3 linked regions of the Struthio camelus genome follow. The protein of the gene in region 1 purifies or fractionates together with the protein of each later gene. This does not show direct contact. Links are inferred from orthologs where the notes say so. Each region holds a gene or a part of one and is shown in the gene's direction. Other genes may lie near its edges.

Region 1 (7,459 bases):
CTTCGCTGGACTCCCTTCAGCAGGTCCATGTCTGTCTTGCACTGGGGAGCCCATCATGGACACAGCACTCCAGATATGGCCTCACCAGGGTGGAATAGAGGGGAAGGATCACCTCCCTCGACCTGCTGGCAACACTCTGCCTCACGCAGCCGAGGATACCGTTGGCCTTCTTTACCATGAGGGCCCATTGCTGGCTTGCGTTCAACTTATCCACCACCTTTTCTGCCAAGCTGCTTTCCAGCAGGTCAGCCCCCAGCCTGTACTGGTGCATGGGCTTATGCCTGCTCAGGTGCAGGGCTTTGCACTTCACCTGGTTGAACTTTATCCTTAAGATGTGGTTCCTCCCCACCCACGTCTCCAGCCTGTGAGGTACCTCTGAACAGGAGGATAACCATCCGGTATGTCAGCCACTCCTCCCAGTTTGGTGTCATTAACAAACTCGCTGAGGCTGCTTTTGATCCCATCATCCATTAATGGAGATGCTAAAAAGTACCGGCCCCATATCAAACCCCGGGGCACATCACTGGTGACTGGCCTCCAGCTTGACTTTGTGCTGCTGAGCATAATCCTAAGCCCAGCAGTTAAGTTCAGTTTCAGTCCAGATCACTGTCCATTCGACTAGCCTGTACTTCATCAGCTTGCCAAGAGGATGTTACAGGAGACAGCGTCAAAAGCCTTTCTAAAAATCAAGGTAAAACAACATCTATTGCTCTCTCCCTCATTCACCAAGCCAGTCATCTCATCATAGAAGGCTATCAGGTTGGTCAGTCATGATTTCCCATTTATGAATCCATGCTGACTACTCCCAATAGCCTTCCTGTCCTTTGTAAGTCTGGAAATGGCACCCAGGGTTTAGTTGCTCTGTTGCCCTCCCAGGGACTGAGGTGAGGCCGTGCAGCCTGTAGATCCCTGGATCCTTCTTTTTGCTCTTCAAGACAGGAGTGACATCTTCCAGTCCTCAGGAACATTTCCTGATCACCATGACCTTTCAGAGATAACCAAGCGTAGATTTGCAATGACATCAGCCAGCTTCCTCAACCCTTGTGTGTGCATCCTGCCAGGACTAGTGAACTTTTGTCTGTCCAATTTGTTGAAGCATTCCCTAACCTGATCCTTTTCCACCAAGGGTAAGCTGTCATTGCTCCCCACTTCCTCTTTGATCTCAGGGTCTCGGCATTCCTGAAAGCAGTTTTTACCAGTAAAGACTGAGATGAAGAACGCGCTCAGTACCTCTGCCTTTTTGGTGTCTGTTTTCACTAGGGCTCAGGCCCCATTCAGCAGTAGGCTCACATTTTCCCTAGCTTCCCTTTTGCTACTTGTGTACTTAACAGAAGCCTTTCTTGCCCTTTATGCCCCTGCCAGTTTCACTCCAGATGGACTTTGGCTTTCCTAACCCCATCCCTACATGCTTGGATAGTGTCTCTATCTTTTTACACGTAGAGAGAGACAGAATATATATCTCTGTCATCGTCCAGGAGGACCCGGCCCTCTGAACACACAGCTTCGTCCGACTCTCTGAAGAACAATTGTCTTTTTCCTGCTTAGGCAATCTACACTCGACACCCATTACAGCATCAGCCATGTTGGTCAGCCCACTAATGCTGGCCCATAAGCTCTCAGCTGACCCCAGGCAGAGCTCTGTGCATTCCAGTTGCTCTCTCACATAAAAGAGAACTCCCTCTCCTTGCCTTCCTGAGCAGTCCTTCCTAGAGGACCTGTATCCATCCAGCACAGCGTTCCTGTCTTGTAAGCTATCCCACCATGGTCCCGTTATCCCAATGAGATTGCAGCCCTGTAATTGCACACAGACTTCTAACTCCTCCTGTTTGTTCCCCACGCTGCATGCATTAGTATACAGGCACTTCAGAGAGGCACCCAAGCACACTGACTTTTCAATAAAGGGCATGAGAGCTTTCCCCATAACGTGTTCCCATAGGCACTTCCTTCTTTATTCCCTATTTTTATTAGGGTCTGCCAAGGCAAAGCACCACATAAATGATTAACAAAGATGAAGTGTTTAGCCTGATACAAAGAGTAATGCCACCGAGAGGAATTCTATTAGAGAGCCTGTATTGCTTTATATACACGAGTTTACAGTATTCTTCTGATCCACTTAGGTCAATTTGCATATACTAAATAGCCACATCTGAAGACAAGTTGGTCTCACGCACTTCTGTACTAGGAGGCGAGGAGTGGGATATGCTTAATTTTGCTACTGCAGCTGGGAAGAGTATCACTAGAAACAAAACAGTTAGCGAAGGCGTTTGACTAGTCACAGTTTCACTGGTGACAGAGCTGCCTGTGGCCCAGATGCCATTTTTTCCTCAAAATACAGTCATAATAAAACAAAGAGAGACACCTAGTTTAGTTTCACAAGCTACATGTTCCCTTTGGTGGAACGGCTAGATTTGTCAAGTAGGGAGCATTTAAAACTGCAGAGACACCTTGTTAACCCTTGAGAAGTTTAACTTAGTTCTCATGCTCATAATATGGGAAGGTGCAAGAGACAGGCAAGTTTTTCCCAGAGGCATTTATGACAGAACATTTTCTTTCAGCCGTATTTCATAAGGCCTTTGTTACCTACAAGTACTAGGGTACACAAGCCGCTTCCTAGTTAAAATTTGTTAGAAAGGAAATAGTTCTCAAAAAGAAAAAAAAGCTTTGATCGACAGCATTGCCAATATGTACAAGTCTCTGGAGCTGTTACAATATACAATTTCTTTACAGGAACTCCCCTCACCTCGTAGGTAAATTTCAGAGCACTGTGAAAGGGGATACATGCAATTCTTTCTCATAGCATGTTCCCTACCGCAAAGTCCATACTTTCCAGTGCCTGCCACTTTTATCATCTTGTGGTATATAGCATCTAGTCCTTCTAATTATGATTTGAGCCAATTTACCTGCCAAGTGACCACGCTCTTCAAAATGCTGACACGCGACCCACTAGATCAGAAACTTAAGGGAGAGAATAAAGAGGAAGCGTTATCTGGTACCCAGTATTCCTTCGCATCTGGAATACTGGTAGGAGATCACAAAGTTTGCAATCTTGACTGCCAACTACTGACCACTGTGGGGTTAATGTGCTACCTAGAAAGTCCTCACAGCCCATTCATTGCTTAACATTATCTTGAGGACTGAACACTCAGTCAGAGCAGTATTACAAACTTGCACTCTTTCACCATCAAGTATGGCAAATATTGGCCCTAAATATTTAGCCTTTATGCTTTGTCTAAAGCCAAACAGACTGCCAGTTGAAGGCTTATAGTTTTGTTTGTGTTTTTCAACAGCTTGATTCAATTCAGTTTGATTACCTGCCACTATAAGCGTGTCTGATTACCAGAGTCACCAGACAGTAATGTCTCATCAGTACGAACCCACTTGAAACATGGAAAAAGGCTGATGTTTTCAGTTTACCATAATGGAGACACCCTCAGTGTTCCTGAAGATGCTCATGAAGACCTGTCACATAAGGCCCATTAGAGACACCGATATTTTGAAGACACAGGCAAGACACTCATAACAATTGTAACAGTTTTGGTGTAAGAAGTGAGGCAATGCAAAGCGAATACAAACAAAATAAAGGTGCAAACAGTAAGTAGGGCAGTCGCTTAAGCGGTCATTTTGAAGCAAGCAAGGCAAAACACAGCTGAAGGCATTCACTGAAATGGTTAGCGACTGCCCCTCCCGGAAAGCGCCCGCGCGTGTGCCCTCCGCTGCCGGGGGGCCCCAGCAGCGCCGCGGCCACGCACGGAGCGACGCAGCCGCCCGGCAGCTCAGGCTCGATCAAGGTCAGGCCCTCCCGAGGGAGCGGGTCGGCGGGGAGCGGCCGCCCCGCGAGCCCGCCCGCCGTCGCTTCGGCTGCGCCTCGCACCCCCTCCACCGCCCGGCCGCCCGGCGCGCGTGCGCAACAGACCCGCGCGACCTGCCTCGCCGGCGGCGCTCCCCGCGCCGCGGGCGGCGGGACGGCCGCGGCGGAGCAAGGCGAGAGGGACAGGCGACCGGCCGCCGCCCCCCCCACCCCGCCCTCCTCCGTGACACACCTGTTCGGGCTGCCATGGTGCCTGCGGGGGCAAGGCGGGCCGGCACGCGGACGGGAGTCGCCGCCGGCCGGCCGGGCCCGGCCCGACGCGCCTCCACCGGGCCGACGCGCCTCCGTATGACGCAACTCCGCCGGCTCGCGCACAGGGTGACGCAACCGAAGAGGGGAGACGAAAAAAGCCCAGCTGGCGTTAACTTCACGTGACGACGGCGCGGTTGGCGGAGCGTGCCTGCCCTCAGCCAATCAGGGAGCGGTCCGGGCGCGGGCGCGGTTGGGGCGGGGGCGCGCCCGCGGCGCCGAGCGGGTCGGGGACGCGGGTGGGGACGCGGGGCGGGGCGGGGCGGGGCGGGGTGGCGCAGCGCAGCGCAGCGCAGCGCAGGCGGCGAAGTACGCGGTTAGTGTGCTGTTGCTGCTGGCCAATGCAGAAGCTTTACTGCGGCAAATACTTTGAAAAGTTGCGCAGAAGATTGATTTCCCGTACTCTTTGTGCATCTTCGACCTGAATTAAGGCAGAAGGTAAATTCGTACGAAGTGTTGAGCTTCTGCTCAACAGCTAATGAATAATGCATTGTTTTTCACTAATAGGTTTGAAACCATCTTGTAAAGGACACATCGTTAACCTTCTTTGGAGAGGCTTAGGCTCTGTGGGTCGATGTCATCTTGAGGTCCAGTGGCAGGGCTAGGAATTTGACCCCTACTTCTTGATTGTCCAGGCTGTTGCCACCAGCCAGCAGGTTTAGCTGGGCAGTGCTTAAGTTAGGAAGCAAAGCAGCTCTGTGTTTGTCTCCAAGGCCCAGCAGATAAACAGAAAAGAGTTGTTTTGGAAAGATGCTGGTGGGGGAAAAATCCAAAATTTCAGAACTAGAAATGAAAAATCAGATCATAGAGCAGTCTAAAAGTGCTGGGCTGTTGAACTACCTCTGTGATTTATCACATCTGGGTGTTCCAGAGCCTGATGCTCAGCCCTGTTCCTATGCCACTGTCCTTACCACATCTGATCCGTTCCTTGTCCCACGCTGCTGCAAGGACCAAAGATGCTATGCTGCAAGTGTCATGATTCCCTTAGGTTGAACTGGAGAAATTCCAGCTTGCCTAGGAACTGAGTTCCCAGACCCCAGTTCTCAGATGAAAAAACAACTCCAACTCTATATCCAGCCTTGGGTTTTGTGTCCCCCTCCCAGGGATTTTTCAGGAAGTTTGTAATAGTTACAATGCAGGGGTTCTGCTACTACCGCTGCTCAGATACTGTGAGAATAATCTGCAGAAGAGCCTGTGCCAAGGGTTTCAGGTTGATGAAGCTCTTTCTGTTGTTTTCAGGGAGGTAGTGCTAAACTTGTGTCTCTAGGGTTGGGGGATCGCTATGATCGCATATATAACACAGTACAAAAGCACTTTATATCTTTGCTTTGTGTTGTAATAATTTCTTAAGCCTCTCTGGGCAAGTCTTAGAGGCCTGTACCAACATCTAACACTGTGAATTTCTGGTTCAACCAGGCATGCATCTATCTTTGCTGGAAGTTTCCATTCAGGTGGCCCTCGTGTCCTCTTGTTTATCCCTGCTGCAGCCAGCTCTCTAGCCTACCGCTTACGCTTTCACCGGGGCAGCTGCTCTTCGGTGAAAGCTGCCAAGGTTAGCTAACAAACAGCACTTATGTCAGTAGACTATAAATTAGGGAGTGCTGGGAACTCCTCCTGAAGTGAGGCTTAGACAAAACAAGCCATCCAGAAGAAGAGAGATTCTCAGAATGTTGAAATCCTTTCTTAACGAGAGTTTGAAAAAGTTCCGGCTCTCCCAGTAGGAGAGAGATATTGACAAGCTGGAGAGAGTTCTTTACGAGGTTACTGAGGTGGTCAGGATGCCGGAGCTCATGATGTACAAGGACAGGCTGAGAGAGCTGAACTTGATCAGTCTAGAAAAGAGAAGGTGGAGGGGTGGTATCTAATTGCAGTTTTCCACTACTTGAAGTGGGTTTACACAGAAGGCAGAGTCACGCTCTTCTCAGATGTGCACTGTAAGAGGAGAAGCAGCAACAGTGCAGCAACAGAAGTTCCTGGTAAACAAGCTTCCCCGTGAGACTGGTGCAGCTCTGGGACCAGGCCTGGAGCATTAGGAGGCTCTCCATCCTTGGAAGTACTCAGCTTTCACCTGAAGAAGGCTTTGCACAACCTGAGGGTTGAGCCCTACTTGGAGCAGGGGATTGGACTGAAGACCTCCAGAGGTCCCTCCCAGCCAAACGCTTTCCATGTTTATACCTGTAGCATAGGCAAGTTTATTGTGGGGTTGTAAAACACAAGTGTTCAGCCCTTGTAGCAGGAGTAAGTTAATCTGTTCATTTTAATAGTGATTGTGTGTCTCCTTTTGGTGAATGCTTAGATGTAAAGAAAACACAACTTCTCTGCCCTGTGTACGTCTCAACATCCACGCTCTTTGCAGCTGTGTATAAAGGTGCTCAAATGAATATTCTCCAGCACTGTCCAGTGCCTCTTCCCATGGCGTTTGACTCCTAATTCTCAGGGCTGACCAGGATGTACATGGGGTGGATCACCGATAGGAAGAGGAATAGCTTAACCCTGCTTTTGTGGTGCTCATCTCCATGCAGTGTGTGTCTGAGGCGGGAGGAGGCTTCCAGGGTGGATGCCCAGTCCTGGATGGTTGCCTGGAGTGCATTGACATAGGCATCAGCTAACCTGCAGCCGAGCTCTCCCAAGTGCGGGCAGCCGGAGCCCAGCAGGCAATGGGTGGAGCTCTGCGCACCAGCAGCGGAGCTGATGTTGCTACTATTTTGTTGTTGTTGTTGTTAAAACTTACGCAGCTCGTGTTACGTGCTAGACCATGGCTGAGGGCTCTGATCGGGGCCTGGAGCCTTGCTGGAGCCAGGCTCTTTCTGCGCCGGCGAGTTGCGTCTTTGGATTCGCGAGGAGCTGTCACACAGCGCAGAAACTGCACCGGGGGAGCGGACGGCAGCCGGCCAGCGGCCACATCCGACACCGGGCTCCCTCCTGCCAGCGGCGCCGCTCGCCGCCCCAGTAAAGCAGGTCGCGCGGCGCGGGGTGGGCGGCGGACACATCCGCGGGTGCGGGGACGCGGAGCCGCGGCGGGGCGGCCTTTGCTCCGCCGGGCCCACGCCGTGCGCCGGGGCGGCGGGCCAGGCTCCCGGCGCCACCTGCTCCTCGCTGCGCTGCTGTCCGCCCTGCTCCCAGCTGCCGTCTTGCCTCCGCCCCAGCGAGCCAAGCGGAGGAGCGACGCGCGCCCCCGCCCGCGATTAACTCTCGCAGGTGACATGGTTATATTTATTCGTCTTTCCACAGTATCCCCAGTGATGAATTTGATTTTGCCACAGGGAGTCCACCAATTTATAAATCATGCTGAGCTCCATCAAGTGCAGTTTACTTGACCATGGCTTTTAGGGAAAGCTTGGA
Region 2 (8,042 bases), on another chromosome or scaffold:
ATGCTAATCCGGAGAAAAAGCACTTCATTTAACTGTACCTTGGGAGAACAGCAGTGACTTGTCCTCTGGGGAAGCAGAAAGCAGGCTGGAGGCATCTTCTTGTCTGCAATGACAGCTCAGAAACTGTGACACCTGCCAACTCCACGTGCTCCAGAGATAGGAAAAAAGGTGAAGTTTTCAGCACAAAGTTGGTACAAAGGGATGCTGAGACTTGGAACAACTGTCTTGCAAGTGGATCAGAAAGCTGATGTGCTAAAGGGTGTTATTTGTGTTAATGCAGCCAAAGGATGTTGAGAGGAGGGAGATCCCAGGGTTTCTGTCACTGCCTGAGTTATCGTGTCACATGTTTCACTGTTGCTCATACCCGGAGCAGTCACAAGACATCAACACTTCAGCCATTACCTCTTTTGTGACTTTTGGGAGCTCAAATGTGAGAGATGCAGAGACTGCCTCTACCTCACCTCAGAGACTCACCTCAAGGTGAATTTGAGAACTCTGGGATTTGATCAGAAAACTCAAAGGCCCCAACTCTAAATTCTGGAAAGTCTCCTGCCCCTGTGCTCATCTCCCCTCGAGGCTCCCCTACTAATTACATATAACAGAGATCTCACGACAACTCAACGTAAGCCCTACACAGCCAGAGAAACCTTTAATGCTGCAGGAGCTCCTAGCTGTGACATCCATTTTTTGGGTGGCTCTTTCCTCTCTCTGCAGCCTGAACAGAGGCGGGATTGAGCTCCTTATGTCTTCCATAATCCAGCAGGTCCTACTTCCACCTGACAGACTCTTCACGTATACCCGACCATTTGCTTTTTGCCTTCTTCACCTCTGCTTTTTTCCTTGCTCACCTTTTATGCCTACCAGTCTTGTCTCCTCAGTGAGCTTTATTCCCCATTCCTTAGATAGGGCGTGTAATTGCACGTTATCTCAAAGCCAGGAAGGACTCTTAATAAAAGATAGATATATATTAGCATAGTGTGCCCCTGGCTTGCTGCCCAGATTCAAAATGATCTGTTCATACACTTTTAAACTGATGGTGTGGAACTGAACACGGATCACATACATCAGGGAAATAAATGCTACCTATTTTTATTATTAAGATCACTTACTGGTTATACTGGAAGTGGCCTTGTCTTTAATGCATTAATTGTGACCTTTATGAATGTTCATGTTCTCCTCATTTGTACAGTGGCTGATTTTGAGGCAAGCAGAGCCATGAAAATATTGATGGCACAGTGATTATTAGCTGGTACTGTTCTGAGGTACTTTGAGGAGGACCAGATTACAACTGCTGCGTTTATTTTCCTCAGGGCTTATTAATGCTTTGTATTAGCTGTGCTTGGACTGTTAACGGAGGAGTTAATTTGTCGTGCTCATATTAAAGAATAGCCTGGCTCCTAGGATGCGCTGATTAGCCAGAGACTTTCCCCTAGAATCTACTTTATTACACAAAGGCCAAATTTCTGTAGTACAAAGAAGGCCACTTTTGTTCCAGAGAAACATAACTATTCATTTCAAACTTTCCCCATAATGCTGGTCCTTTTAGCTCCAGCCTTGGTACATGCAGAAGAGTAGTTACTCTGCATATAAGAACAGAGGCAGCGAGAACAGCAACATAATGCGAACAGTGAAGCCTGCAAAACTACAAACTTAATCCTTCACTTGAGCTCAATTTAACTTCTGTCAAACAATTTGAGGGACGAACTTGCTGCAAGATCTACCCGTCTTACGAAGAGAAACGCTAACAGAGCTCGATTAGCTCGGGCGTAGTCCCAGCAGTATTTGCACTATTGCCAGCGTACGTCTCCCAGGCAAGGCCCGAACTGTGAGGAGCCGCATCGCGTGAACGCTAACACGAATGGCTGTGCAGGTGTGCGACCCTCTGCCAAAACACGAGGCTGAGGCCTCTTCCAGTACAGAAACAGAAACAGGACACAGTGTTCTCCAAGCTGAGGCCCTGGCAGCCCCTAGGTGAAAGGGGTATACTTGGATCGAGTTTCTTCTCAAGCAGGACAACTTCTCTCTCTTCCAAAGCTCTTTGTCTGGACCTCACTCTTCCTCAAAAAGCCTACGGACTGAGGAACGCTCAGTCCCTGAGTTTTCAAACACACAGCAGCCTCTGCAGCCTAACCGGACGTTCAACAAAATCAGAGACGGCTTTCTGTTAGTGTTGAGCCCCATCCCTTCCAGCCCCACTCCCTGCTGCTTTGTCCTTAGCTATGGGACAGGTCACGGCTTCCCTAGCAGCCGGACCCGCGTTCCCACAGGGATTTTCCAGCCCTGGGACGGTTGCTCTCGCCTTCGAGCCCACCATCCCTCTTTGGGCGAAGGGCAGACGCCCCCGCCCGCCTCACCGCCCGCTGCGGCCTGCCCCCAGCGCATGCCCCTCCTGCCCCTCCGCCGGCGCGACGGAGCGGGGCGCCGCTGGGCGAGCAGGCCCCTGAGCCCCGCCTGCGAGCCCGGGACACGGGCCGGCCCCGCCGGCAGGGGCGCGGCCCGCCGCCGCCAGAGGGCGCCCCGCCCGCCGCCGCCGCCGTTTGGCGCCCCCCGGCGGCCGCCGCTAGCAGCTGCGGAGCGGAGCCGGCTGGAAAAGGTTTGTCCTGCGGCGACTCCCGTCCCCCGGCGACGTCAGGCTTGGCAGGGGCGTACGCCTTAACGACCGCTGCGCAGCCGCCCTTGAATGGTGGGAGGCGGGGCGGAGAGGCGGAGGCAAAGCGGGCACGCCGTCTGATTGGTCATCCGCGCCGTCCTTCCCCTCCAGTAGGCGGGGCGCCGGCGCGCCGCTCCCTGCTCATTGGCGGCGGCTGGGAGCCGGGGGGGTGGGGCGGCGCCAGGCCGCTGGGGTTGGTTGCGCTGGCCAGTGGCGGGTGCGAGGGAGTGCGGGGGGGGAGGGGTGGGGGGGGTCCTGAGGCGCCGCTGTCACCGCCGCCTTCCCGCCCAGGCCCGCGGAGCCAGGCGAGCCCGGCGCAGCCCCGTCCGCCCGCGGCGCGGCGCGGCAGGACCATGTCGGCCACGGACGAGCGGGCCAAGGAGATCCTCAGGGGCTTCAAGCTGTATCCGCCCGACGGGGGCCGCGGGGCGGGCGGGCGGGCCCAATCTGCCCCGGCCGGGATTGGGGGGGGGGGGGGGAGGGAGGGTGGCCAGTGCGGGGATCGCCGTCTCCGAGGGCGGGGGCGAGCGGTTGTCATGGAGACCGCCACCACCTCCCCCCCCCGCCGGCTAGGCTGTTCCCAGTGTCGTCCTCCCCTCCCTCGCGGCCCCCCCCCCCCCCGGGAGCGGGGAAGGGCGGGGGGGTCCCCTCCTCCCGGGAGCAGGCTACGCCCAATGGGGAGGGCTGGGGGCACCCTCAGCCCCACCGCGGGGTCCTGGCTGGGCTCCCCCCCCCTCTTCGGGACCGGTCTGGCGGGGGGATCCCGGTCAGGAGGCCGGAGCTGTCCACCGGGCGGCTGCTGACGGGCGGCGCCGGAGCAGCGGGAGCCCCCCGAGCTCGCAGAGGGCAGGTGAGGAGCCGGGAGCCCGGCGCGCTCCGTCCCGGGAGGATCCGCTCCCTCCCCTTCGGCCGTCCTCCTGGCGCGCCCCTCGAGAGCCGCAGCTGCTTAGGCACCTCTGCGCCGAAGGAAATATCTGCTCTCCAAGTGCAGCAGCAGCAGCAAAGTGTCTCGGTCCTTTTCTTGCTGTGAGGTACTGGCACGTGTTTTGTTGGTTGTAAGGTGTCTTTTGTTGCTGATGCTAACATATTATAGGTGCTAATGCCTTTCTGTGCAATTCATTCTGCAGCTTTAGCACTGTAGCTCTCAAAAAGCTTCTCTGTTTTACATCTGAGTGTATTATGTGAATACAGATACAATCCTGAGCAAATGAGACAGATCTGAGCTAGGAAGAAAAATGAGACCCTGTACACACCCTTCCAACCCACAATTTCAGTACAGGAAGGCTCAATCCAAAGGCCCATATGCAAACCAAGAGTGGGAGAAATATGCCCTACTTATAAAATGAAGTAACTTCATTTTATTATAGCAGGTTCTAAGTTTAGAAGACAGATGCAAGCTTCCCAGCTTGACCTTAAGACACAGGGTGAAATCACTTTTTTTTTTTTAAATACTGAAAAAGGATAGAAGTTCCCTCTTGATCTAATACTGTTATTTCTGAACAGCTTTTTGTCAGTAATATGTTTGCGATCTGTATGCCATCTGTAGCAGGATCCGAGATGCTCTAGGTTGGATTTAGCCAAATAGCTACTATTGAACTATAAGCAGATGCTTCTCAACTTTTGAATCACTGTCCCCTCCCCCAACCTTTTAGTAGTGCAGCTGGTTGCTTTGCTTCTAAAGTAACAATGTTGACAATTCTTTTTATTCATGAAGTTGTAATACCTAGTCAAAAATAGTTGAACAGCCTTATGTACAGGCAATTAGCAAAAGCATAAGCTTCTGACAAGACCAGGCTAACATGTTGGTAGAAACGAAAAGTGTTTGGAAAGTTAACCTTAGGGAACAAACTTTTAACTACTTTTCATGTGCATTTGTATATGGTCTTCACTGGAGAGAAAAATTTATGAGGACATTTGTCCAGCTTTGGATGAAATAACTCATTTAGTAGTTTGTTGGCTTAAATACAGAATGTTTTTTTCACCTTGAGAGGTGTGTAACAGAAGGTAAACTTCCGTTATCTCAAGCAGCTATAGTGTAGGCAAAAACATTTAGTAGAAGTACTCTGCACTTCCAGGTTGAAGAACCTCAAGTTCACTCTTCCCTTACATGGTCACTGAAATCGATAGTATTACCTGTGACAACCAAATGACAGGACATTTTTAGGCAGTAAAAGACTTGACCATGCCTCTCTGAGAACATGCTAGAGTATTATGATAGCTCAGCTTACTGTCTGCCATATAGTCCAGACAGCATAAAACCTTTAAGTCCAAGGAGCAAGAAAGCTTTTTCTCAAAAAAAATTTATAATTGGAACTTTGCATAAGTAAAAACAGTCAAAAAACAGTCTCAGTGTGTATTTAGTAAACCAGAAGTAAATGCGGCTGGACAGACATTCCTCATTTGTAAGAGAAAAAGCCTTGAGACGCTGCACCGTCCACACAGGAAACTACTCATGCCCAGATCTGACCGTGCTCACTGTAAGACAGCCATCAGCTCAGACTTCTATTTCCTTTTCTATGGGTGAGTATATGTTCTAAAGAACATTACATTTTAAATAAATGTAATATTTTTCTGCCCAGTCTACTGCTATATCTGCTATTTTAATTTCCTTAATAGAACAGAAGAGATGAACACATCCTGAAAAGCTGTACATTTATCTTTGGAGTACTTAAACTTCCTCCTCCTGTCCCAGGAAGGAGGAGTTAACTCCAACTTAAGCAAACCCTGCAAACTTGGCACCTGAAGCTGTGCTTGCTTTAGCACAAGAAACTAGCACAGTGGTACCGAGGGTATGGACATACTAGATGCCTTGTGTAGTTAGATCAATTGATAGGGTAGGTGGTATCATTGAGGAAGTAGATCTCTGAATTGCTTGCTTACTTTAACACAGAACAAGCACTTCACCTGGAAATTCAGCTCACATTGAGTTGTTAAAGTTTGCCTCAAGCAAGTTCAGTTTGTAGTTCTGGTTCCCCAGAAGAGGCTGAATACAAACTTTCCAACTGATTGAGACACACTGCTGTGGAAATTAGTTCGTAGCCCTGATCCACTCTCTGGCTTCAGTACACAGATATTCTTTCCTTCCTCTATGACACTAGTGCAGAAACATGTTGTGGCTAGTGTCCTCAAATTCAAACCAGGAACATTTACTCCCTTTTCTCAGATTTTGCTATTTCCTGAAAAGATGAAAACTAGAAGTATTTGAAGTTTGCAGGCCAATGAGGATATTATACTTGTCCTAAGAATTTTTAGGGCACCAGTTAGCACGCTGTCTGTTCAATTTGTAAGTTTAAAAGATGAAAAGCCACTAGTCAGCAACTTTTATAGCTTGTCATTTCTTGAAGACTGCATTTGTTAACAAAACTTACAGCACGTTCATGAATTTCCCGTTTTGAAGGCACTCTTCTGAGCAGCAGTGCTTATACTTGGGGGGAAAAAAACCATTAATATCTACAGGTAGCCTTGTGTTATGTGAACGCAAACTAGTTGGTTGACTATAGGCACTGTCAGTTCACATGGTAACTTAAAGCATCCTCCTCTGGAATATTGGGTGAGTTTTCATTTCTGCAAGTATTTAATGCACAATTGGTCTGCAGTCTCAAATGCAGGAGGTTTGACTATGCTTGTTTCCAGAAGATGAGACAGTTACTCTGTCAAACTAAAGACTAGAATGTTATTTGGCCCACGCTTATCTTTTCAACATATTCTTCAGGTTTCATTCTGCCATTTTATCTTTACAATTACTGTGTACCATTAAATGTATGTTTAACATCCTTTTTCATAGAGGAATAGCACTGAAAGTGTTTCCCCATAACAGTCAAAACCTGGCATTGAAGAGTTACTTTTCAATGGCTTTTTTTTTGTTTTAACTCCCTTGGTAATTTGTGGGTTGCCTTTATAGCTTTGTTCAAATATAAAGTAGCAGAAAACTGTTTATTGTGCTGTGTTCACTAGTATAAGGACATTGTAGGCAACTGTTCTATTTAACCCAGTTTGCCAGCATTTGGAAAGCATATGTGCTTTGCTTTCTTAAAGTATCCATGGTGTAGATTAGAAATATCTGACCATGGGCTGCAACAGCCCATTCACATCCAGCTCTTGAGGGACCACAGTTCTGGTTATGTTCTTCCAGTAATGTTTCTGCCAGAACAATAAGAAAACCCTGAACAAGCCAAGAGCTAAAAAGCTCCCCAAGTTTCATAGTATAGTTAAGGTGCTAAGCCTAACCTTCCAAGACATGAGTAAGCATATCCAGTTTTCAGTTCTAAATCTTAAAATTCCAAGTATCAGCTATTGTACTGGCTTCTGTACAGAAAAGCCTCATCAGAACTGGACCTCAGAGTTAGTTGCTGTATAGACATTTATTAGTTCAGAGTAAAGTTGTGTGCGAATTTCTATTTGAGGCTATACAGCCTATCCTACTGTACTCATTCAGAAGTCTCCTAAAAACAAATTGATATGCTGAACTTAAGCACAAAGAGACAGCATTCAGGTGAGAATTGTGATGGAGTTGTGAAACTAATATTTGTCGTCAGTATAAGCCCATAGCTGTAGCTCATACACTCTGCAGCATTTGTAGGCAGAGCTTTTCATACATGTCAAAGGGTTTCCTACTTCTGAAAAATCCCTGAAGTTGCCTGTATGACATCCTCCTGTCTCCCAGTGCTTCCTCCAATTCTCTTGCCATTATTTCTGTCTAGGAAGTGAATCTAGTACAATAACCTGTTAAGCTCTGTCCATCCTCCCAAGAGCTGTAGTAAGGGTTAGCTATATCAGAAACCATGAACAGCTTCCTTGAACCTTATATTGCTTTGCAAACAATGAGAGTTCTCCTTCCACAGCTTCTACCCTGCCTCTGCCATATACACACAAAAAAAAACTAGCCAATGGAAGTCTTGCCTATCAGTTCCTAGAACAGTCCCCAAAGTTTTGGGCTGCTTCTTGTAGCATTCAGTTGTCAAATCCAAAAGTTCTGTCAAGTTGAGTCTCCAGCCTATTTTTATTAGGTCAGTAGATCTTTAACTGCTTAAGTAAAAATGCTCATTTATTGCCTTATTTGCAAGGCAAGTTGGCAGCTTTAATTGCCCTTTAAAACACTTTGTTCTGAGGTTTTCTGTGCACTTGTCCTCAGATCTTGGTTTAAGACTTCCTGCAGTTAAATAATGATGAATCACTGGTTTCATTGGTTAAAAGGAGGCACTAGCCAGCTAATAGAGGGATCAGGGCTCCTTAGAAGGTGGGAAATGTACTCTGTAGAGAGCCAAAGCTGTGTTAACTTAACTAGCTTGCACCAATACAATTCAAGAAAAACCTCTAGAAAACAGCAAGTGAGTTTGTGCTCCCCACTCATGTTTTTCATTTCTGAAAAACAACAAACTATGCCTGGCACAAA
Region 3 (7,843 bases), on another chromosome or scaffold:
ATAGATGGAAAACTTATTGAGGTCAAGGTCCTCAATGAACTCTACTCTTTCCTATAATGAATTTCCAGAATGCTTTAATACTGAATTAGGGCATCATAGTGCTTAAAATATTGTGATATTCTTGGAGGAATTTATAAGACTCAAGAGATCGCAATGTGAAGAATGTGGAATAGACCTGAAGAACACAGAATTATTTAGCCATATTTTTCGTTATAATCTATCCTAATCTAATGGGTTCTTTAGAGTAAGCCTGGCCTGTTGTGACTGTTGATAACTGTGGCTGTGCACTTTAAACTGGATCTTATGAACATTTAAGAAAATATTTAATTTTATAGCATTTTATTTTCTTTCTTTCTTTACAGACTTTAGCACTGAACATATTTTATTATGTGAGAAATACTCAGTCCTCCTTGTAATGACTTCAAGGTCTCCTCTAAAGTCCAGAAAATCATTTTTAGATACTTTGTTTTGTACAGTGATTGTTTGACATATGTGCAGCTGTTTTGATGACGACACAGTTGCGTATTTTCTTCTAATAAGACATACGTAACTGTTTACACCAGCAAAATTAAATCCAGAGTGCTGGAGCTTTCTTTAGGCTTGCTGTGGTATAGATCAGAAATACTTATTTATGTATAATACTTATACAATGCTTATTTTCTTTCTTAAAATGTCCATCTATTTGGGGATTAACACTCTGAAGCTGTGCTTCTCATAGCGTTTTCAGGGTTATCAGAAGGTATCTATTAAGATAACATGGAAAGTGCATTCTCCTTTGACTTTTTTTAGTGTAAACCTGAGACAAAACCAAGACAAGTTTTTGTGAAGAGTGCTTGCTACAAAAAGGCAGAGAAAGCTTGTGTGCAAAATTTGGTTTCTGTTGTTTTGATTCCAACTGTATACTCTGTGAAGAAATAGGATAGCATTAGAGAAATGCTTGATTTTACCAGTCAGTGCTCCAGATAGAAATAAACAATGCACAAGGCTCCAAATATTGATTATTACTTATATTTAAAGAGCTGACATTATGCAATTCCTTTCCTGAAACCAGGAATAAGGTGAGGAGAAGTCAGCAACTTTTACCATTTTGGAACTTTCCCTGACTGATAGGTGAAAAATAGAGGTCTTCTAGACTGGCTCTGTCTCTCCTCTACATTCATTTCTCTCACTCCTTTCAACTTCTGTGATAAAGATGAAGAACATTTAAAAGTTTTCAAATGACTAGTTTAAACACAACTATTTCTTATGACAAATGAAAGAGGAACTGCCACGCTCAGTGAATCCTATGTAATTCAGTTAGTCCTCTACGTACCAGTAGCTACAGGAAATGTTTCCCATAGGTAGTATTGCTTCCAAAACCTCCATTGAAAAAGGCACCCTGCATTGGGATACCCTTTTTTAGTAAACTTAATTTAGGGCTCATTATTGTGACTACAAACTGATAGGTTGTATTTTTTCCTTAGACTGTAATTAACGAGATTGTTTTTCTAGCTTTCCTGAAAATGTGTTTGTTCCCTGAAGCAAACTTAGTTGTTCACTCTTCCAAAACATAAAATTCCAGAGAGTGTAGTTCTTGGCTGGGCACTTAGGGGAACATTGTCATCCTACCAATCAGGCTCCTTTTAACTATTTTTTTTATAAGACATAGATATCTATAACTGAAAGAGATAATTCATATCTAAATAAAATTCTAATTTTTTGTAACTTTATGCATAAGATAGAACTTCTGTGTACTGCCTTTGTTTAATTAGTTAGTTTCCCCTGTTGTTTGGGTAGACCTTAGTAGAAGTAGGAAAAAGTGATTTAAAAATCAACAGAAAGTAGTTTTGGCAGGGAAAACTGGAACCCAATGTACTATCTCAAACTACTTCTCTAAAACAGGTTCAATTAATGATGGCATAACTCTTTTTTAACAATTTATTCTTGTGTCCTAGAAAAGAAACTGTCAACACTGAATATGTTAGTAACAGTTTTTAGTTTTTAAAAATGATATATTTTTGCAGAAAAATGAAAGTCTAGAGCATCCAAACAGTGCCCATCTGAGTTCTCCCACCGCAGAAAGAACTAGAAGAGAGTTCTTGAGGAACAGAGGGATCATCAAAGATTCAGAATGGTTCTACAGGGTGAGTGACTCAGGGCGCAGAACTGCTGTGGTCATTCTTTCCTGCCTCTACCTGCACTGTACTGGCACTTACTGATCCTGTGGGGAGCTGAGCCCTCCAAAAATGTTGCTTTTTTATTTTATTTTTTTCTTAGTAGGGTGAGAAATTGGGGGGTTAGTTCTCACCTGATTTAGCTCAGTGACCAGCTCACTGTAGGGTCAGACAAGCATAGCTGAGTACAAAGGATTTCTTGTCTTCTATTTTAAAAGCAGGTGCTAATCTAGTCCTAACCAAATTGTCAAGCCCTTCAGGCATGGAGAAAAAGGTTAGAGTAAGAGGAACATGGAGAACGTATCCCCTGCTTAAAGGGGCAATCAATGAAAAAAAGGGAGGGAATGTGAGGACCAAAAGGTCAAAAATGGATTAAGAGAGGGGCATTGAGCCACTGACGCTGGATGTCGCTCAGAGGTGGCTGTGCTTGCAGACATGAATGGACAAACCCCACAGTCATTTGGATCCGCCACTGAGCTTCATCCTAGTGGCACAGATGGCCAGCTTGTCCAGGGCCAGGAGGAGGCTAATACGGAGGTCCCGTAACATGGTGAGGTCTCCTATAGGGAAGGCATGAAGGAAGAGGTGAGGGAAGAATTGCAGGCAAGAGCACACAACCTGGAGCACAAGGTCCATGTGGGAGTAAGAACATGCAGTCTGAAGCAGAGAGATGGAAGCCGCCGCAACTTGAATTTGTTTTAAGTGCTATGAAACTGCACCTGAGGAACACTAGATTTGTCAGCCTAGAAGATGAATGAGGTTGTGGTGCAAGGAGTCTGTGGCACACATCTGTAAGACAGAGTATGGTATGGAGACAGAGAGGAGAGAATGATAATTCATGGTTAATTAACACAAAAGATAAGGGACATCAAATGGAAATACAGTCAGAAAGCTCAAAACATAGAGAAGTGATTTTCACACAGCATGGAGTAAAACCAAGGAATTCATTGCATCAGGCTGTAGGTGCCAAAGCTTTTATGGATTAAGAGAGCAATTGGATTTTTCTTCCATGCGTGCCTATGAAGAGCTAGTAAACAGAAATATACTACTTCTAGCTAAAAGTCTCCGAGCTGCAGAGTTCTGAAAGCTGAGAGTATGTATCAGGAAAGTATTGTTATGTACACATCTTGTTTTCATAGTCTTCCCGAGACATCACCAGTCACCACTGGAAACAGCATACTGTGCTAAGTGGGTCATTGCTCTGGCCACTGATGCCATCCCAGTGTTCCAGCTAGCTTATGCACAAAATACATGCTTTCTTGCCTGCTAACGTGATACATCATTGGTAAATCCAAGCTCAGTTAATTTAAAACTTAAGGCTATAGGAAATATGAAATAGTTAGAACAAGTTGCAGATACATTCTTTTACACATTTTAGTGTTTATCAGGAAGATCTGGAAAACAGGGTAGTGTTTCTGTGTTTTAGTCACAAAGAGTTCTGTAGTAAGTAAAAGTTTGCCTCACCTTTTCTAAGTACAGAGAGGTTGGATCAAAAAATATGTAGTCTGCATAAAACAGACATGCCTTTGGGCATCTTGCACAATCCAGGCCTTTTCATTAGCGATGACTTGACATGGAGCAAAACAATGAGGTTTGAAACAAATCAGAACATAGTGGGAGCAATAAGGGACTGCGCTAAACTTCGTGTAGCCTGAGCAAAGCAAAAACCACACAGTGATTCAGTTCAGCCTCCATCTGGGGAAGCGGTGCATTTTTTAGTTCTCTAAGAGTAAGAACTATTAAGCATAATATCTGCATTGCGTATTCTGTTGTAGCCAGAATATTTTAGCTCCTGCAAGGTGTTGTCTTTTATGGCAACAAAGAGTTGTTGCCCAGCATAATTACAGCTTGGTTTGTAATCTTGCTTTTTCACATCCTGCTCCAGTCCATATGGCGTGGGGGAGGATTGTGCTGGACTTCCGCTCAGCATTGATGAGAGCAGAAAATGCTTTCTTTTCCTTTGCATGTTGTTAAAAGGGGGCTGTTTGCCCTCTCCAGAATTAGAGTTATTTTGTGTGAGCTCTGCTCTGAAGAAGCCTCCAAGACATGTAAAACCACCTGGCAAACTTTTGCATGAATCATACGGATATTTGTGGCCTCTGGCTTTTTGAACTGCACTGTGAGTAATCCAAGCTGCTCTCGTCAGTGCTGCTGCTGAAACCCATTTCTTGCGTTCTGAGAAAAGACCACGGGGGCCTTAGATGCAACTTGATGGTCTCCAAATTGTCCGAGAGGATATCTGGATAGCAAACCCCGTGTGCTCGTCTAGTCCAGCCGGAAAGGTCTGGACAAATGGTGTTCCTTCTTCTGGTTCAACCCTGCTAACAAAAGCGTGGAGGCCGTCGTGAGGTTAAGGAGGCCGGGGGCTACTCCTTGAAGTGTTTTTCCCTTGCGCCCCTAGTTCTGACGGTCCCGCGGCCTTTGTGGAAAAACTACTAACATTAATCGTGTAATAATAGACCGGTATCTGCCTGAACCATGTCTGCAGCCAGGTTTCCCCGTAACGTCTCTCTGCCCCGTCAGGATGCAGACCCTCCGGAGGAAGAGGACACCTGGACACGTGCGCCCCCGACCGCGCTAAGCACCTCGGCAGCCGAGGGGACTAAAGCCGGCCCCGGACAGGCGCTCGGGGGGCGGCCCACCGGCCGCGGCTGCGCGCCAGCGGGGCGGGCGGGGGCCGGACGGCGGCGCGGGGGCTCGCTCCGCCCCTCGCGCTTCCCCCCGGCCCTCCGCCCTCCTCCCCGCGCGCTCTCAGCCATTTTAGCAGCCGGGGCCGCCGCGGGCCGCCTTCTGCGCCGCCCGCGCCGAGCCGAGCCGAGCCGAGCCGAGCCGAGCCGAGCCGAAGGGCGGTGAGTGCGCGCGCGCGCTCGCCCGCCCGCCCGCTGCCCCGCGTAACGGCCGCGGACGGGCGGGCCTTGGGGCGGTTGTCGCGCTGCGCCGGCGGGCGGATGGCGCTCCCCGCCGGGGCTGGGACCGCGGCCCCCGGGTGCCTGGGCGGAGGCAGCCGGGTCAGCTGAGGGGAGGAGGGGGGTTAAACGGGGTCAGGCTGGTGGCCGGCTCGCTGGAGGCGCGGGCGGGCCGGCCGCGGCAGGTGGCGGGGGTCCTGGGAAGGCTGGCTCCCAAGGGCAGAGCTCCTCAGGGTGCATCTGCCGCCGCTGCGCGTTTTCTGCGCTCGGCGCATCCGCTCCTTGCTGGGGGGGCACCCTCCCTGCTCCCTGCTGGACGCTGCCGCGTCCTTCTGTGACTTTCCCTCCGCGGTGAGGTGGCCGCGGCCCGCAGGCTCTGCGGGGCAGCGCTGCTGGCTGCCCCGGGCTTCCCCGCTCTCCTCCTGCCTGTCAGCGCGCCCGGCCAGCAGCAGCATCCTCTGCCGCTTGGCTCTTAGCGGCCCAGCTACCTGATGGCAGAAGAGGCTGCTCGCCCTGTTTCTTGCTTTGCAGTAGCATCATCCCCCCCCCCCTTTTTTTTTTTTTTTGCTCATCTCCCTTCCTGGGAACCAGACGGGTTTTGTGAACCCTGCCCGATACAATCAACAGCGTTATCTCTTCCCCCATAGCCCCCTCCCACCTTTGCGTTTCTAGATGCAAAAGAGGAGGCCGGGCTCAGGGTATGGTCTGATGCTGATGTAGCGAGCACACGCAGAAACCCAGGAAAACGTGATTCATTGCTCAACGCTACGCACAATGCTTATTTTTTCTGTTTCACGTCATAGGAGCATCTGCTCCTATGCAAGAAAGCGGTTGGTTATTTTTGTTGTTTGATTCCTCTGAGATAAGTTTCACTTTGCAATATCCTAAAATATCTGTATGCTTTGCAGATATTTTAAGCTGATTTAAAAAGAAAGTGCATGTGTGCTTCATGCCCTCCCCTGCCCCCGGAAGAGTGTCAGCACTAAATAAGCCAACATCAGGCAACTAAATAAAGCCCCAATTATCTTTTATCCCTCTTGTTGCTTTAATGAAATAGTTATAGCAACTTGTGAGCTATTTTGTAACTATTTTTTATAACCCTTTTATCTAATATAATTGTTTCAAATTTGATTTTTTTAGTGAAGATAATAAATATAGGCTGAGAGTACAGAGAGATTTGATGTAAATTGAGAATTGTTGCAGATAAACTGAATTTCTCTAGTCCATGATGCTTGCAAAACGTGATTATCAGATTCAAAATAATACCCGTCCTTACTTTTTTTGTTCTGTTCATCTTGGTCTGTTGTAACATAAAAATATTAATGCAAAGTTCTTTGTCACTTAATACTGTAGACGTATGTGCATTTATGGCTTTGCCAGTAAAGCTACAAATAGTAATTAGAAACAATATATTTTTTTATTGTTTTAATTGACTTTGACTTTTTCAGTCTTCACAGTTGGTCAGGGATCAGAAATCCCAATGATTAGAAAGCACAGATTATTTTTTCCTAATATGTGAAAATCTTATTGGCTTTGGGGATTTGTTTAAATTATATTTTCTACCAAGCAAAAGGTACAAATAACAATGTTCCACCAGTTTCAGACAAATTGTTTGGTTTTATTTTTTTCTTCTCTTTATTTATTCTATTTATTTAAAGTTGCAAAGTTTGAGTTGAATACAGTTCTACAGAAGTCTTAATTATCTCCACAAAAAGGTTATATTAGTATTTTTTTAAACTTATCCCTCATGTCTTTTTGCCTGCCAATTTCCCTTCGTTGCTGTCTTAAACTTAGCTTATATAAACTTAGAACAGAGAATACAAAAAACAAATTAAAAACTCTGTGGTAAGGCTTTCATGATATGTTAATTGTTCAGGTATTTGCATCTCATGCAAACATTACTCATGTATTATCTTTAACACTATCTGTAATATATAGCGTGCTAGCAAGTGACAGTATCGCCCATTGTTTGATGACTGAATAATCTAACATTTATCAGTAGCTATAAATTTCCAGCATCATAATTACCAGTGTTCTGTGGATGACCTCCTTCTAACAACAGGTTTATGCTTCAGCTCTTTTATAAAACTAGAAAAATAACACTTGAACAAGTTGCTAAGCAAGGCAGTAGTAGATACAAATGTATTTCAAGCAATATTAAGATATGTGTCTAGTAAAATAGATGGACCCTGTTATGCTGTTTTAAATAAAGTTAAGACCCCAATGAGTAGTCTGAGCGTGAGCCAAAGATATAAACATGTAAATTCTATTAATTTTAAAGGTATTCATTAATAAATGGGGTCAGGTAGTTAAGATGACAAGTGATCGAGTGCTTATCCCTAAGAAAAATGTTTTTAATAAATTACTGAAATGAAAAAGAGATTGAGTTAATTATTAAGGGAAATATTCATTGTATACACAACTAACCGCATGGTCCCTGTTCTTCAGGGCATTTATTCTCTCAAGGGAAAAGGAATTTTGATTGAAAGAGGGAAGTAGTTTCCTGGGACAAAAAACTTACATTTTTGTACCCTTTGTTCATATACTAGCTTGTTATTTAGATGGGACAGCGTCTTCCAAGTAACATCCTTTTTGTCAAAGATGCATCTCAAAGTTGGCCACGCTATTTATTTTTCCTGTGTTCGACAGCAGCTAGAGAGTGGCTCTTTGTTGTTGTTTCAGCGTTACCTTACCTCCTCTTCTTCCTGTAGCTGGCATTGCCCTCTGTCACCTTTCCGTGTGGAAGGTGCTTCATGGAGTAGGCAAGCAGCCTGGAAGGGCCTA

Evidence for each region.
Region 2: the proteins of FBXO10 (region 1) and PDE6D purify together in Homo sapiens (affinity purification with mass spectrometry; 3 studies listed by BioGRID and IntAct, with this or other methods). This does not show direct contact. The link is inferred for Struthio camelus from reciprocal best matches to the Homo sapiens genes FBXO10 and PDE6D.
Region 3: the proteins of FBXO10 (region 1) and ACSL4 purify together in Homo sapiens (affinity purification with western blotting; 3 studies listed by BioGRID, with this or other methods). This does not show direct contact. The link is inferred for Struthio camelus from reciprocal best matches to the Homo sapiens genes FBXO10 and ACSL4.

What each region holds. Positions count from the first base shown.
Region 1 is NC_090982.1:2,321,312-2,328,770, reverse strand, and holds the start of FBXO10 (F-box only protein 10), read left to right. Parts: upstream 1-4,412; 5' UTR 4,413-4,555; intron 4,556-7,235; exon of another isoform or gene 7,236-7,459. UniProt on the Homo sapiens protein: Substrate-recognition component of the SCF (SKP1-CUL1-F-box protein)-type E3 ubiquitin ligase complex. Mediates the ubiquitination and degradation of BCL2, an antiapoptotic protein, thereby playing a role in apoptosis by controlling the stability of BCL2.
Region 2 is NC_090950.1:21,896,434-21,904,475, reverse strand, and holds the start of PDE6D (retinal rod rhodopsin-sensitive cGMP 3',5'-cyclic phosphodiesterase subunit delta), read left to right. Parts: upstream 1-5,011; 5' UTR 5,012-5,025; coding exon 5,026-5,170; intron 5,171-8,042. Other genes in the region: COPS7B (COP9 signalosome complex subunit 7b), read right to left, coding at 39-95. UniProt on the Homo sapiens protein: Promotes the release of prenylated target proteins from cellular membranes. Modulates the activity of prenylated or palmitoylated Ras family members by regulating their subcellular location.
Region 3 is NC_090952.1:8,895,762-8,903,604, forward strand, and holds the start of ACSL4 (long-chain-fatty-acid--CoA ligase 4), read left to right. Parts: upstream 1-4,836; 5' UTR 4,837-5,002; intron 5,003-7,843. UniProt on the Homo sapiens protein: Catalyzes the conversion of long-chain fatty acids to their active form acyl-CoA for both synthesis of cellular lipids, and degradation via beta-oxidation. Preferentially activates arachidonate and eicosapentaenoate as substrates.